3 linked regions of the Macaca mulatta genome follow. The protein of the gene in region 1 interacts with the protein of each later gene in a biochemical or structural test. Links are inferred from orthologs where the notes say so. Each region holds a gene or a part of one and is shown on either strand. Other genes may lie near its edges.

What was found.
Region 2: the proteins of SNTB2 (region 1) and PTPRN form a complex in vitro, tested with the Homo sapiens proteins (2 studies listed by BioGRID and IntAct). The link is inferred for Macaca mulatta from reciprocal best matches to the Homo sapiens genes SNTB2 and PTPRN.
Region 3: the proteins of SNTB2 (region 1) and DGKZ form a complex in vitro, tested with the Homo sapiens proteins (2 studies listed by BioGRID and IntAct, with this or other methods). The link is inferred for Macaca mulatta from reciprocal best matches to the Homo sapiens genes SNTB2 and DGKZ.

The regions. Positions count from the first base shown.
Region 1 is NC_133425.1:64,804,490-64,808,604, reverse strand, and holds the start of SNTB2 (beta-2-syntrophin), read right to left. Parts: upstream 2,845-4,115; 5' UTR 2,828-2,844; coding exon 2,257-2,827; intron 1-2,256. UniProt on the Homo sapiens protein: Adapter protein that binds to and probably organizes the subcellular localization of a variety of membrane proteins. May link various receptors to the actin cytoskeleton and the dystrophin glycoprotein complex.
Region 2 is NC_133417.1:124,555,881-124,559,976, forward strand, and holds the start of PTPRN (receptor-type tyrosine-protein phosphatase-like N), read right to left. Parts: upstream 2,892-4,096; 5' UTR 2,843-2,891; coding exon 2,728-2,842; intron 1,340-2,727; coding exon 1,289-1,339; intron 1,047-1,288; coding exon 933-1,046; intron 1-932. UniProt on the Homo sapiens protein: Plays a role in vesicle-mediated secretory processes. Required for normal accumulation of secretory vesicles in hippocampus, pituitary and pancreatic islets.
Region 3 is NC_133419.1:19,238,163-19,241,804, forward strand, and holds part of DGKZ (diacylglycerol kinase zeta), read right to left. Parts: coding exon 3,629-3,642; intron 3,119-3,628; coding exon 3,062-3,118; intron 2,660-3,061; coding exon 2,591-2,659; intron 1,223-2,590; coding exon 1,151-1,222; intron 1,049-1,150; coding exon 932-1,048; intron 832-931; coding exon 760-831; intron 461-759; coding exon 365-460; intron 110-364; coding exon 27-109; intron 1-26. UniProt on the Homo sapiens protein: Diacylglycerol kinase that converts diacylglycerol/DAG into phosphatidic acid/phosphatidate/PA and regulates the respective levels of these two bioactive lipids.

The sequences.
Region 1 (4,115 bases):
GCAACGTCATAAATCTACTATATTGACTTCCTCACAACTTATAAGAACAAAAACTGCTTGTCTTATACAAAGTGGGAAAATAAAGTAGAACCTGTGTGTTAGGCAAAAAGGCATTCAATAAACATGTTATTATGCTGCCATCTTTCTAAAAGCACACATGGCCTATTTTAGTCCAATAAAGACTGGGAAGCATTTGCTACAAGGTTTTCATTTTACTAGTCTGAATACTAGGTTCAAACTATACCTACACAAAAAGTGGGTTGTTTGTTTTTGAGACGGAGTCTTGCTCTGTCATCCAGGCTAGGCATCCAGGCTGGAGTGCAGTGGTGCCATCTTGGCTCACTGCAATCTCCACCTCCGAGGTTCAATCGATTCTCCTGCCTCAGCCTCCCTAGTAACTGGGATTACAGGCATCTGCCACCATACCCGGCTAATTTTTGTATTTTTAGTAGAGACGAGGTTTCGCCACGTTCTCCTGACCTCAGGTGATCCACCCACCTTGGCCTCCCAAAGTGCTGGGATTATAGGCATGAGCCACCATGCCTGGCCAAAAAGTGTTGGGTTTTTTTTTTTTTTTAAACATGGTGTAAAAGGTTCAATTGTCTGCCCATCACAAGTGAGGACTACATAAATAGTGCATTCTGGATGTAAGAATTTATAACCAAATGCTTAGCTAGACCAATTTCAAGGTACATGTTTAGAGTAACAATTTTTTTATACACACACCCAAACCACAATCTTAATTTTACTCCTATTAACACTAATTTCCGAGCAGTGTCTAGCCCCACCTAGACGTGCAATATAAATAAGGTTTATAAATAGGACATTATAAAGGTGGGACACTGGAATTTCACAACTGGTGTACATGAAATCATTTCTGGTAAACCAGTATTTTTCCAAATATTCACAAGCTGATTTATAAGAAAGTGAAAATCCATTGTGCCAAGTTGGACTTCTGGCCCCTCGGTTTGATTGGTCCTTCTTCACCAGCAGCCCCCAGCCCTTCCCTTCTGTCCTTCCTCTGCCAGGAATACCCTCCTGACTCATCCCTGCCTGCCTATGTCCATCACTTCCTTGGAGACCCGGCTCAAGATTTAGCTCCGGGAAAAAGTCCTCCCTGGCTAATTCCATCTCCACTACTTTCTAACTTTGCATTCCTTTGGTATTTAAATATAGTTTGCACGACGTAATCGCCAACTTCATTCCTTTCCTCCCTATAAGTTGTTTTGCATTTTTCTATCATTTCTCCAACTAGAGACCAAGTAGGGACAGCATCTTCTTTTATATTCTTTTCAACACAGCTAGCAATAATCACCAGCGAAAGAAAGCTGACCGCTCAAAAATTTATGAAGAAAGCAACTGACTCTTCGTTTATAATTTACAATATCACCTCCAACATGCATGAGTTCTTAGAGGAGAGGAATTTTATTTTTGCCCTAGTTCAAATTCATCAGAAAGATCCAACTTACAGATCACATACATATAACTTACTGTAAAGAATAATCCTGGTTACTGAAACCTATTTTGTGATTTGCCATTTCAAGTTTCTTACAAAAACCCTAATAGCGCGCCTGTGAGTGGTAGGAAGCTGGCAGCAGACTTGCAAAAGGGGCAAAACTCTAGTTGGCAGTAAATGTTCAAACACGTGAGCCTCCACTGTTAAACAAGGTTCATTAACCACACAGACTTGCTGTTTCAGCTTTCTGGCTTCAATGAAGTGCTATGATCTCCTTCGGTTATTGTTGAGAGCCAATGATGGGTTAAATTCCCATAAATTAACCAGCTCTTTGGTGGGTTGCCCAAGCATACAGCTGGCATCGGTGTGGACGGACTTTTTTTTTTTTTTTTTTTTAATAGACCCACCCGCCCCGAGGAGCCAGAGGTGAGTGAGTTAAGCGCCAACCCGGCACTTCTCAGCGGGCAAACGGAGACAGACCCACTCGAGCCGTTCGCTCTGCCTCAAGTTCTTAGTGTCAGCTTATCGGGCCGAGAGGAGGCTTCATAGGCAGCTGCTTTTTACTCAGTCTCAGCCGAGTCTTCCTTAGGGGCTGCAAGTAACACTTCGGCGGCTGCCCAACTTTTCCTGCAAGAAGCATCCGTTTTTCCACACTGAAAGCTCCAGAAACCCGGGTTTGGGGAGAGAGGGGGAGAGAACCGGCTCGCCCCGCCGGCGGGGCAAGGAACAAAGTGAGCTCCCGCGAGCCCAGGCCGCCGCGGCCCGCCCACCCTCCCGCCCGCCCGGCCGGCCCCGCTCACCCTCCAGCAGCACCTCCTTGCCCGCGCGCTTCAACGCCTGCACGGCCTGGTCGTGGGTGGCCTGGCGCAGGTCGGTGCCATTCACCGACAGGATGGCGTCGCCCAGCCGCAGCGCCCGGCTCTGGTCGGCGGCCAGCCCCGGGAAGATCTTGGAGATGAGGATCGGCATCCGGTTCTCGCGGCCGCCCTTGATGCTGATGCCCAGGCCGCCCGCCTCCTGCTTCACCACCCGCACCCGGCGCACGGGAGGCGACGCGCCCGCCTCACCCGCGGGGCTCCGAAGTGGCGCCGGCGGGCTTGGGGGCCCCAGGCCGCGGCTTGGGCTCCCGGGCAGCGAGTCGCCCGCGCCGCCGCCGTTCGGGAGGCCGTTGAAGGCGGCTGCCGCGGGTCCCAGAGCGGGCTCCAGCTCGGCCGCGGCGGCGTCGCCCGTCAGGCTCAGGCTCTCCCCGCTCAGCTCGGCCACCACTCGGACCCAGCGCTCCCTCAGGAGCAGCTCCACCAGCCCCGCTTTGGTGGCCCGCGTCCACACCGCCATGGCCGGCCCCGCTCCAGCCGCCGCAGCTACCCTCATTCCAGTCAGGCAGCCTCGGCGCTTCCCCCTTCCCGCCCGGAGGGGCGGGCCCGGCCCCTCCCCCGCGTGATTCATTATTCATGAGGCCACGCCTGCCTCCGGAGGGGCGGGGCCGGCGCAGCCGCTTCCGGGAGGTGCAGAAGTTGTCTGATCCCTTGCCTCTCGCCGGACGTGGGCAGCCCGAGTGCAGTGGAACTGCATTTCTCATTCTCCTTCCATTGGCTCCCCACGGCTCCCCCCGAAAATTCACGGGAGCTGCCCGGGCACGGAAAGTAAAATCAGCTTGGAGAAGCACTTTGCAAGCCTGCAAGACCCGGTGGCACGTTCATTCTTGCATTGATTGGTTCGTACCCTGTATACTGAGCGCTTAGCCCTGTACTCCGGCTCCTTTTGAGGCCCTGTAGATAAGCTTAGTAGTACCAACAACAGCTGAGAGTTTGCGGTCTAGTGGGGAAGGAAAATGCAGAACCAACCAACTAGGTGTGATACTATGTGGTTAAGTGACATGCAGAAAACGTCCCCAGAACAGCATAAAAGGAACATTTGGTTAGGCCTGGGGTCAGCTTCACAGAGGTGACAACGGAGGGTGAACAGCTCAAGCAAAGGTCCAACAGCATGATCCAAGCCTTTGTCAATGTTTTGTAATCTCGTTTACTTGCCTGTAATTCAAGAGGGAACCATGTTTTCTTAAAACTCTGAAGCCACAATTGGCAGGCCTCAAGGATATTTGCAGAATGATGGTGTCTTATGGTTCTTCAGAGAAACCAATCAATAGGATATATAGAGATATATAAATTTATTATTATTATTATTATTATAAGGGACTGGCCACGAGATTATGGATGCTGAGAAGTTCCACGATCTGCCATCTGCAAACTGGAGACCCAGGAAAGTTGGTGGTGCACTTCCAATCCAAGCCCAAAGGCCTGAGACGCACGGGAACCAGTGGTGTAAACCTGGGCCCGGCGCGGTGGCTCAAGGCCGGGCGCGGTGGCTCAAACCTTTAATCCCAGCACTTTGAGAGGCCGAGGTGGGTGGATCACCTGAGGTCATGAAGTCATGAGTTCGAGACAAGCCTGACCAACATGGAGAAACACCATCTCTACTAAAAATACAAAAAATTAGCCGGGCATGGTGGCACAATCCCAGCTACTCGGGAGGCTGAGGCAGGAGAATTGCTTGAACCCAGGAGCGGAGGTTGCAGTGAGCTGAGATGGCGCCACTGTACTCCAGCCTGGGCAACAAGAACAAAACTCTGCCCCAAAAAAAAACAACAACAAAAAAAGAC
Region 2 (4,096 bases), on another chromosome or scaffold:
CACTACAGCGGCAAAAGTGATGCTTGTAAAGTGTAAATCAGATCATGCACCCCTATGCTCCAAATCTTGTAATGGTTTCCTTCTTTACTCAGAGTAAAGCCAATGTCCATACATTCCCCTATGAGGCCCTAAAGTGATCCACATTCCTTCTCCCATTACCTACCTGACTGGACCTTCTACTCTTCCTCTCCATCACTCCTCTACAGTCCCCTGGCCTGCATGGTGTTCTTCAGAATTGTGCTTTTGTCCTAGCTATTTGGTCTGCCTGAAATACTCTTCCACTAGATAACCTTCTGACAAACTCCCCTACCTCCTTAAAAAGTCTGTTCAGATTTCATAGTCTCAATAATGTCCACCTTGACCACCTGATTTCCTGATTTAATACTGTAGCTTTCTACCTCACCATTTTGATCCCTTTATCCTGCTGTAATATTCCATGCTATTTATCATCTTCTAAGACACTATGTATTTTCTAACTTTTATAGTGTGTTCCCTCCCCTTATCCCCCAAACATAAACTCCAGTTAGCAGAGATCTTTGTTTTATTCCCTGACACATCCCAAATACCTAAAACTATGCCTGCTACACAGTCAGTACTCAATAAATACTTGTTGAATGAAGAATGGGTGAGTGGAATATTATCCTGGCTGAGGATTCCAGAGTTCTTGGCTCTGCCAGGGAGAGGAACTGGTCCTAAGGAGATGGAAGCTGGCCTTTTCCAGTGACTTCTTCTAGAAGCCTCCTTTGGGCTTCTCCAGAGAGTCCAAATGTGAATAGCCCATCTCTAGGGTTCCACCTCTCACTCCAGCAAGATCTGGGAAGATGAGGCTCCAGCAGTGGGGGTGATAAGAATATTCCTTGTAGAACAATATTCTTCCCCACCCATAACTAACCAAGTTCCAATCTCTCTCCTCCAGTGCACCCAGACCTTACCTTGAGACATGAGTTGTCGGAGCACACCTTGTAAGCGTTGGAGAACTGGGGAGGTGACTTGCAAAAGGGGCCGGGCCTGCCCCACTCCCACCTGGCACTGCCCAAACAAGCCATCTGAGGGCACAAAAGTGGTGTCAGCAGGGGGCTTGAATAAGAGGCTTTCCAAAGTCCAGGTTGCAAATGAACAGTACTCTCTTCACCTCCTCCCCTACCTCTCCTCTTCCAGGCAAGTCTTCCTTCTTCTCGAGTCCAGTAGCCCTCTTCCTTTCTGGGCCTTCTCTCCCCTTCTAGTTTTTTATTACCCCTCTCCCCACCCCACCCCCATCTTGTGAGTTCTATGCTTGGGCCTCACTCACCCTGAATACAGACTTCCAGGTGAGAGCAGAGCCTGCGGTCAAATAGACAGCCTGTAGAGGAACAGGTGAGCAGAGGCTCAGACACCCACACACAGAGAATGGGCAGATAGGTGGACAGGCTGGGAAAGGGAGAAGCAGATGCAATTTATTCTTTCATTCTAAAGAAGGCCTTAAGCTGGGAGGAGAGTAGGAATCAGGCCTGAAATTCTTAAAAGGAATCATGGGATCTAGTTTTGGATTTTAAGAATTTGTGAGTCTGTATCCTTAAAAGCCTGTTTGCTTAACTGAGTGATGGGGAAGAAACCTTCCAGGTGCAGGGAGAGAGACTCATAGAATTACTGTAGGAGAGGTTTTGGCCAAATTCTGAAAGAGGAATTTCCTTCCCAAATATCCAAAAGCATCCTATAATGGCCTGGAACTCAGAAGAGGTGGAAACCCTAGCACACTTCCCCCGGTCGGGGGAAAGAAGGTATGGGTGGGGCTGGGGAGGGTGCCTCTTAGGCAGCTCTTCCCGCGCTGTCCCGAGCCGCTGGCGCTGTCCGCGGTGCTGAAGCTCTAAGTCTGGCGCCGCCAAGGGCTCGCCTGGAGGCGGTTACCAGAGAGGAAGGGGTCACAGAGCGAGGACTGTCCACTAGACCTGAGCCCTCTGTTCTATTCTGCCAACCCACAGCGTCACAGGAAGTACTCTGCCTCTCGGGCCTCCAAGCCCGGGTGGGGAAAGAGGGCGCCAGGCGGCGAGGCTGCGCCCCTTCCCCCACGCGCCGTCCTCCTACCCCCACCCCCCGCCCGTGAGTCAGCGCTGACTGTCTCTGTCCGCACAGATGTGAGTCAGCACCAGGCCTGGCTGTGGGGAGGGGGACAGGAGAGGACCCTCCCCTCTTCATCCTCTTCTGCCCCCTCCCCGTGCTGTCCCCCGTTACAGGAGATCAAATCGCTGCAATCAGCCTTTCTAGGCTTACGGAGAAACCCTGGTCTCTCTCTTGGCGCAGCTGGGACTCTATGCCTGCGGCCCAGGTTTCCACTGCCCAGAGATCACCGTTCCCTCATCCTCCCCGCCACGTCCCCGCCCCCTCCTCTTCCCATTCCTCAGCGCCTGTCACCGCCTCCCAGGCGCCTCGGAGCAACTGGCTTCTCCTGTGGTCTCGCAGCCGGTCTCTAAGTCCCTCTGCCCACATGCACCCCGCGTCCTTCTCCCCAACCTGCAATTTTCCCCTGAGCCCAATTCTCTTAGGTCCCGCCCCCGTATTCCCAGCCCCACCTCCAGGCCTACGCCCCTTTCCTCCCAGACGCCCTCTCACCTTCCTCATCTCGCATGCCTCCCCCAACCCATATTCTACCCGAGCTTCATGACATTTCACCCCCACCCCCATCGAGTTTCGCTCCAGGCCCCAAGCTGCTCCCCGCCCCCCACCACCCGCCAGCCCAAGTTTCCTCCTGACCGTGGGCACTAACGGCGCTGCAGCCCCCCGGGCGGCTGCTCAGCAGCAGGAGGCAGAGGAGCAGCCGGAGACCCCCGGATCCCCCGAGACTCCCAGGCCGCCGCGGGCGCCGCATCCTTCCGAGCTCCGGGCGCTCGCTCCCGGGCCGGAGCCGCAGCGACGCTGGCGGGAGCCTGCCGGAGGGGCCGAGGCGGGGCCTGCCGCTCCCCACCTCCCTACGAGGCGGGGTCTACATGCCCCTCTCGCTGCAGCGCGGCCAACAGCAGGCGGGTGCTGACGACACCTCCACCCCCGACTCGTAAGCTAATTTGCGTCACATATGGCGTAAGAGCCCTGTCGGAGAGGGGGACCTACCCAGCCCATCCCTCCTCCGTCAAATAGTAGGCGCTTCGCTAGAATTCCCACTTGGCCCCACCCCTTTTTGACCTGTGGCCCTCTTCTAGGACCACCTCTGTCTCCCCGCCCCAGGGTGGGCGAAGAGGGTCAAGTTGAGTGGGGGGCCAGGAAAGATAGGTGGGTCCAGAATGATAAACCCGAAGACGAGAAGCAGAAAAGCGGGTAGAATAAGTACTCTTACTCATTGTCATTGATGGTATTGGTCTCTTCCTTAAGAAGAAGTGGTTAGGCGTGCCTAGATTCCAGTTCTAGCAGGGCATCTACTAAGAGTATGACCTTGGGCACCTTGTTTAAATTGTCTGCGTCCAAGTTTCCTGATCTGCAAAGTGGAGGTACTGATAGTTAGTATCTGCCTCACACGAAGATTGTGAAGATTTCGTTAGTTACACTAATGTGGATCACTTAGAAAGATGACTGGACTGGTATATACTCCATGCTCCATACATATTAGCTTTCATCATTAGCTTTTATTTATTTTTTATTGAGATGGAGTCTTGCTCTTTGGCCAGGCTGGAGTGCACTGGTGTGATCTTGGCTCACTGCAACCTCCACCTTCTGGGTTCAAGCCGTACTCCTGCCTCAGCCTCCCTAGTAGCTGGGATTACAGGCACAGGGCACTTTGCCTGGCTAATTTTTGCATTTTTAGTAGAGATGGGGTTTCACCTTGTTGGCCAGGATGGTCTTGAACTCTTGACCTCAGGTGATCCAACGGCCTCCGCCTCCCAAAATGCTGGGATTACAGGTGTGAGCCACCGGGCCTAGCCTCATCATCAGCTTTGACTCTCCTTTCTCTCCCCCTGTGCCAACTCAATCAATCATTTCATGGTTTTTGCCTGCAAAATACATCTCCCATCAGTCCACTTCTGTCCATCCTCACTACCTGAACTAAAACACTGTACCCTTTCACCACGACCACTGCAACAATCAGCTAACTGCTCTTTTGCTTCCACTCTAGTCATCCAATAAGTAGGAG
Region 3 (3,642 bases), on another chromosome or scaffold:
CCCACAAAACCTTGGCAAGTACTTACGCCTCCCTGGGCCCTCCCTGGCTCAGGTCGAAGACTTGTCGGGGATTGAGATACCAGAGGAAGGACTGGATGATCTTCGCACCCTGGATGGGACGGGAGCCGAGAGACAGGCAGGCAGTGGCGGGACGAAGTGGGAGAAGCACAGGGAGAGGGGTGTGACTGTGGGAACCAGGGCCAATAAGGGGTGAGGGGTGGAGAAAGGACAGGATTTTCTCAGGATCCCTGGGAAAGAGGGATTGGGGCAGAAGCCAGAACGGGCTCTGGGAATAGCTGCTGGCAGACAGGCTGGACCCCAATCCCCGCCCGAGCCCTCAGCTGAGAGGCAAGGCCACGTTTACCTGGTTGCCCCCACTCTTGGGGTTCACAAACACCAGCAGGGGCTTCATGAGCGGGGAGGGGGTGGGTCTGATGATGAAGGGTCTCCAGCGGCCCTCCTGGGAGACAAGGCGAGAGCCTGTAAGCTCCTTCCTGTCCACGACACCCTACCATCATCCTTAGCAGGCCCCCTGGGTGACTCTGTCCCCCCTTGTGTACCCGCATGTACCACCTCTGGGCCAGATCTTACCAGGCCACAGAGCAGAAACTGGCATCTAATCCTGCCTTCTCAGAGGCCCCAGAGCCCACACGGACCCCTGCCAGCTGGCAGCATTAGCCGGGGGCGGAAGGTCTGTACCCTGAGCCACAGACCCCTCTCTCCGGCCCCCCTGCAGCCTCTGTCCAGCCTGGGACTGACCTCAGGCCCTTTCTTGCTGGACTTCCTCTTGAAGGATGCCCTCTTCTTCTTCTTGCTTGCTTTCAGGGTATTCTGCAAGGGAAGCAGGGGCGTTGGTGACAAGGTGGGCAGGCTGGGGTGGCTGGCAGACCCCAAGTACGTGGGGGGCATCAAGGGTGCAGGAAGTACTCACCTGGGGCCTCCGTGCACGGAGGATCCAGGTGGGCGGGATGACCACGGCCGCGTGGACCCCCAGGGAGCACGGCTCCTCAATCTGCTGCAGCATGAAGCAGGAGACCTTGCTGTGGTACTGAGGAGAGTGAGGGGTAGGGCTCAGCGGGACCGTGTTTGGACTCGGGGACCCAAACCCAGCAGTGCAGGGCGTGGCCCTGGGGGCGGGGGCACCACTCACTGCCTGCTTGCACCATGAGCAGCTGATGGCCACAATCTCCTTGCTGTGGAAGGTGAACTTCTGCTGGAATCCCTGAGGGTAGACAGGACGGATGGGCACCAGGGCAGGCCTGGAGCAGCAGACCCAGTCCCTCTCCTGCTGCCAACCTCTATCCACCCAGAGACAGGGCCTCACTATGTTTCCGGGCTGGTCTCAAACTCCCAGGCTTAAGCAATCTGCCTCAGCCTCCCAAGTAACTGGGAACAACAGGCATGTGCCACCATGCCCAGCTCTGAACGCATTTTTTGTTTTTGTTTTAAGATGGAGTTTCACTCGTTGCCCAGGCTGGAGTGCAGTGGCGTGATCTCAGCTCACTGCGACCTCCACCTTCCAGGTTCAAGCGGTTCAAGCGATTCGCTTGTCCCAGCCTCCTGGGTGGCTGGGATTACAGGCGCCCACCACTATGCCCAGCTAATTTTTTGTATTTTTAGTAGAGATGGGGTTTCACCACGTTGGCAAGGCTGGTCTTGAATCTCCATCACCTCAGGTGATCCTCCTGCCTCAGCCTCCCAAAGTGCTGGGATTACAGGCATGAGCCACCATGCCCAGTCTGAACACATTTTTTTACAATAAAATAAAAAAAATACACACACACACACACACACACACACACACACACACACATATATATATATATATATATATATATATATATATATAAATAAGCCTGAAGAGCAGGGCTGCTTAGCCAGGGCCCCCTGACTCCCTGAAGTTACCTGCACAGCACCGTGTGCATACTGCAGGCTAACTCCTGCCTCACTCGGATTTTCCCTCCTTCCTACCCCCGAGGCCTGACCAGGCCCCCATGTGCTCTTAAAGAAATTTACTGCTGCTTCCGAGTACCTATCACATTCATTCCCTGTTCATCCCACAGGCTGTTATGAAAGGCCTGTAGTGGGCCAGGTGCTGAGAATCAGTGAAGTGAGCCTCTCCATCTTTGACAGCCTGCACTTACTGAGGGAGGCGGGCAAGAAGCAAACAAGTAAGTGAACCAAACAACTGTGGACTGTGTTAGGCGGTCGCCTGGAAAGCCTGGCTTCAAGCCACACTGTCCTCAGGAGGGTGGGAAACCACTGCCCAGCTTGGTGCCTGGCACACAAGTATCCACGGAGTCACCGAATGAGTAAGTCTATATGATTCTCCAAAGGGCCACTTGCAGCTTCAAAGCAGGCCAGGCGTGCCACGTCGGAAGAAAACTTTCCTCCCTGCTCTCCTGCTAAGCCCAGAGACCAAGAGCAGGCCAGGGTGTTTGGGGACTGAAGGCACTGCAGCCAGGCTGAGAGTCAGCCCTGGACTCTGCACGCCAGGGTGCGGTCAGTGATGGGCAGGCCACATTGGCCACACAGCCTGGGCTCAGGCCCATGGGTGCAGGTGGCGATTTCCTCGGGCAGGGCCTCTCACCTTCCCACAGTGCCGACACTTGCCGTCCTGGCGTCGTCTGTGTACCCAGTGGTGCCGTACAAAGGTTGGCTGGGGGAGAAGTGGAGAAATTTCACCAGGTGAGGGGTAGGCAGGGGCACAGCCCTGAGGACGGCCTACATGGCTCAATACATCGAAGGTGGGGGCTGCAGGAAGCTCTCTGCAGTCCTGCGCATGAGTGGAGGAGGGGCTGAAGACTCTCTTCATGGCCCAGGGGAGGCTCAGAGTCAGAGGAGAGCCGGAGAAGGCTGGGAAGCACCAAGAGGCACAAGCTGTCCCACCCCCTCTGTACGCAGCGCTAGTTAGGCCTCCGCATGGCAGAACTCAGACCTCAGAGAGCACCAGCCTAGAGGGAGCCGAGCCCTCTGGTGGCACTCCGGAGGCACTGCACAGAGGCCCATGCCAGAATCTTAGGGTGGCCCTGTCCCTGAGCACCCTACCCTGGACACTTACCTCGCGCACGTTCCTCGAGCCTGATTCACGGAAGGACGGCTTACAGCGGAAATTTATCTGTGAAACACAGCAGTGACCACCAAAATGTCAGAACCTCCCTTCGGGGTCAGGTATATGGTCACTTCCTCCAGGACAACCCAGAGTCATCCTCAAAAGGCGGGGATACCCTCATATCATCCCGAGAGTCCTTGAAACATGAGACACCTCCTGTGAGAAGCCCTCCTGCCTCTCTGCCTCCTCCTCACTAGCCAGAGGGATCTTTCCTTCTTCCACCCAGCACCCAGGATGAGGGGGAGGTTGGGAGCTTCGGGTTTGTCCCCCCAACTAACATGGGACCGTGGTTTGCTCATCGTTCTCTCTTTTTTTTTGAGACAGTCTCACTCTGTCGCCCAGGCTGGAGTGCAGTGGTGCAATCTTGGCTCACTGCAACCAACACCTCTCGAGTAGCTGGGATTACAGGTGTATGCCACCAAGCCTGGCTACTTTTTCTAATTTTTAGTAGAGATGGGGTTTCACCATGTTGGCCAGGCTGGTCTCGAACTCCTGACCTCAGGGTGATCCACCTACCTCGGCCTCCCAAA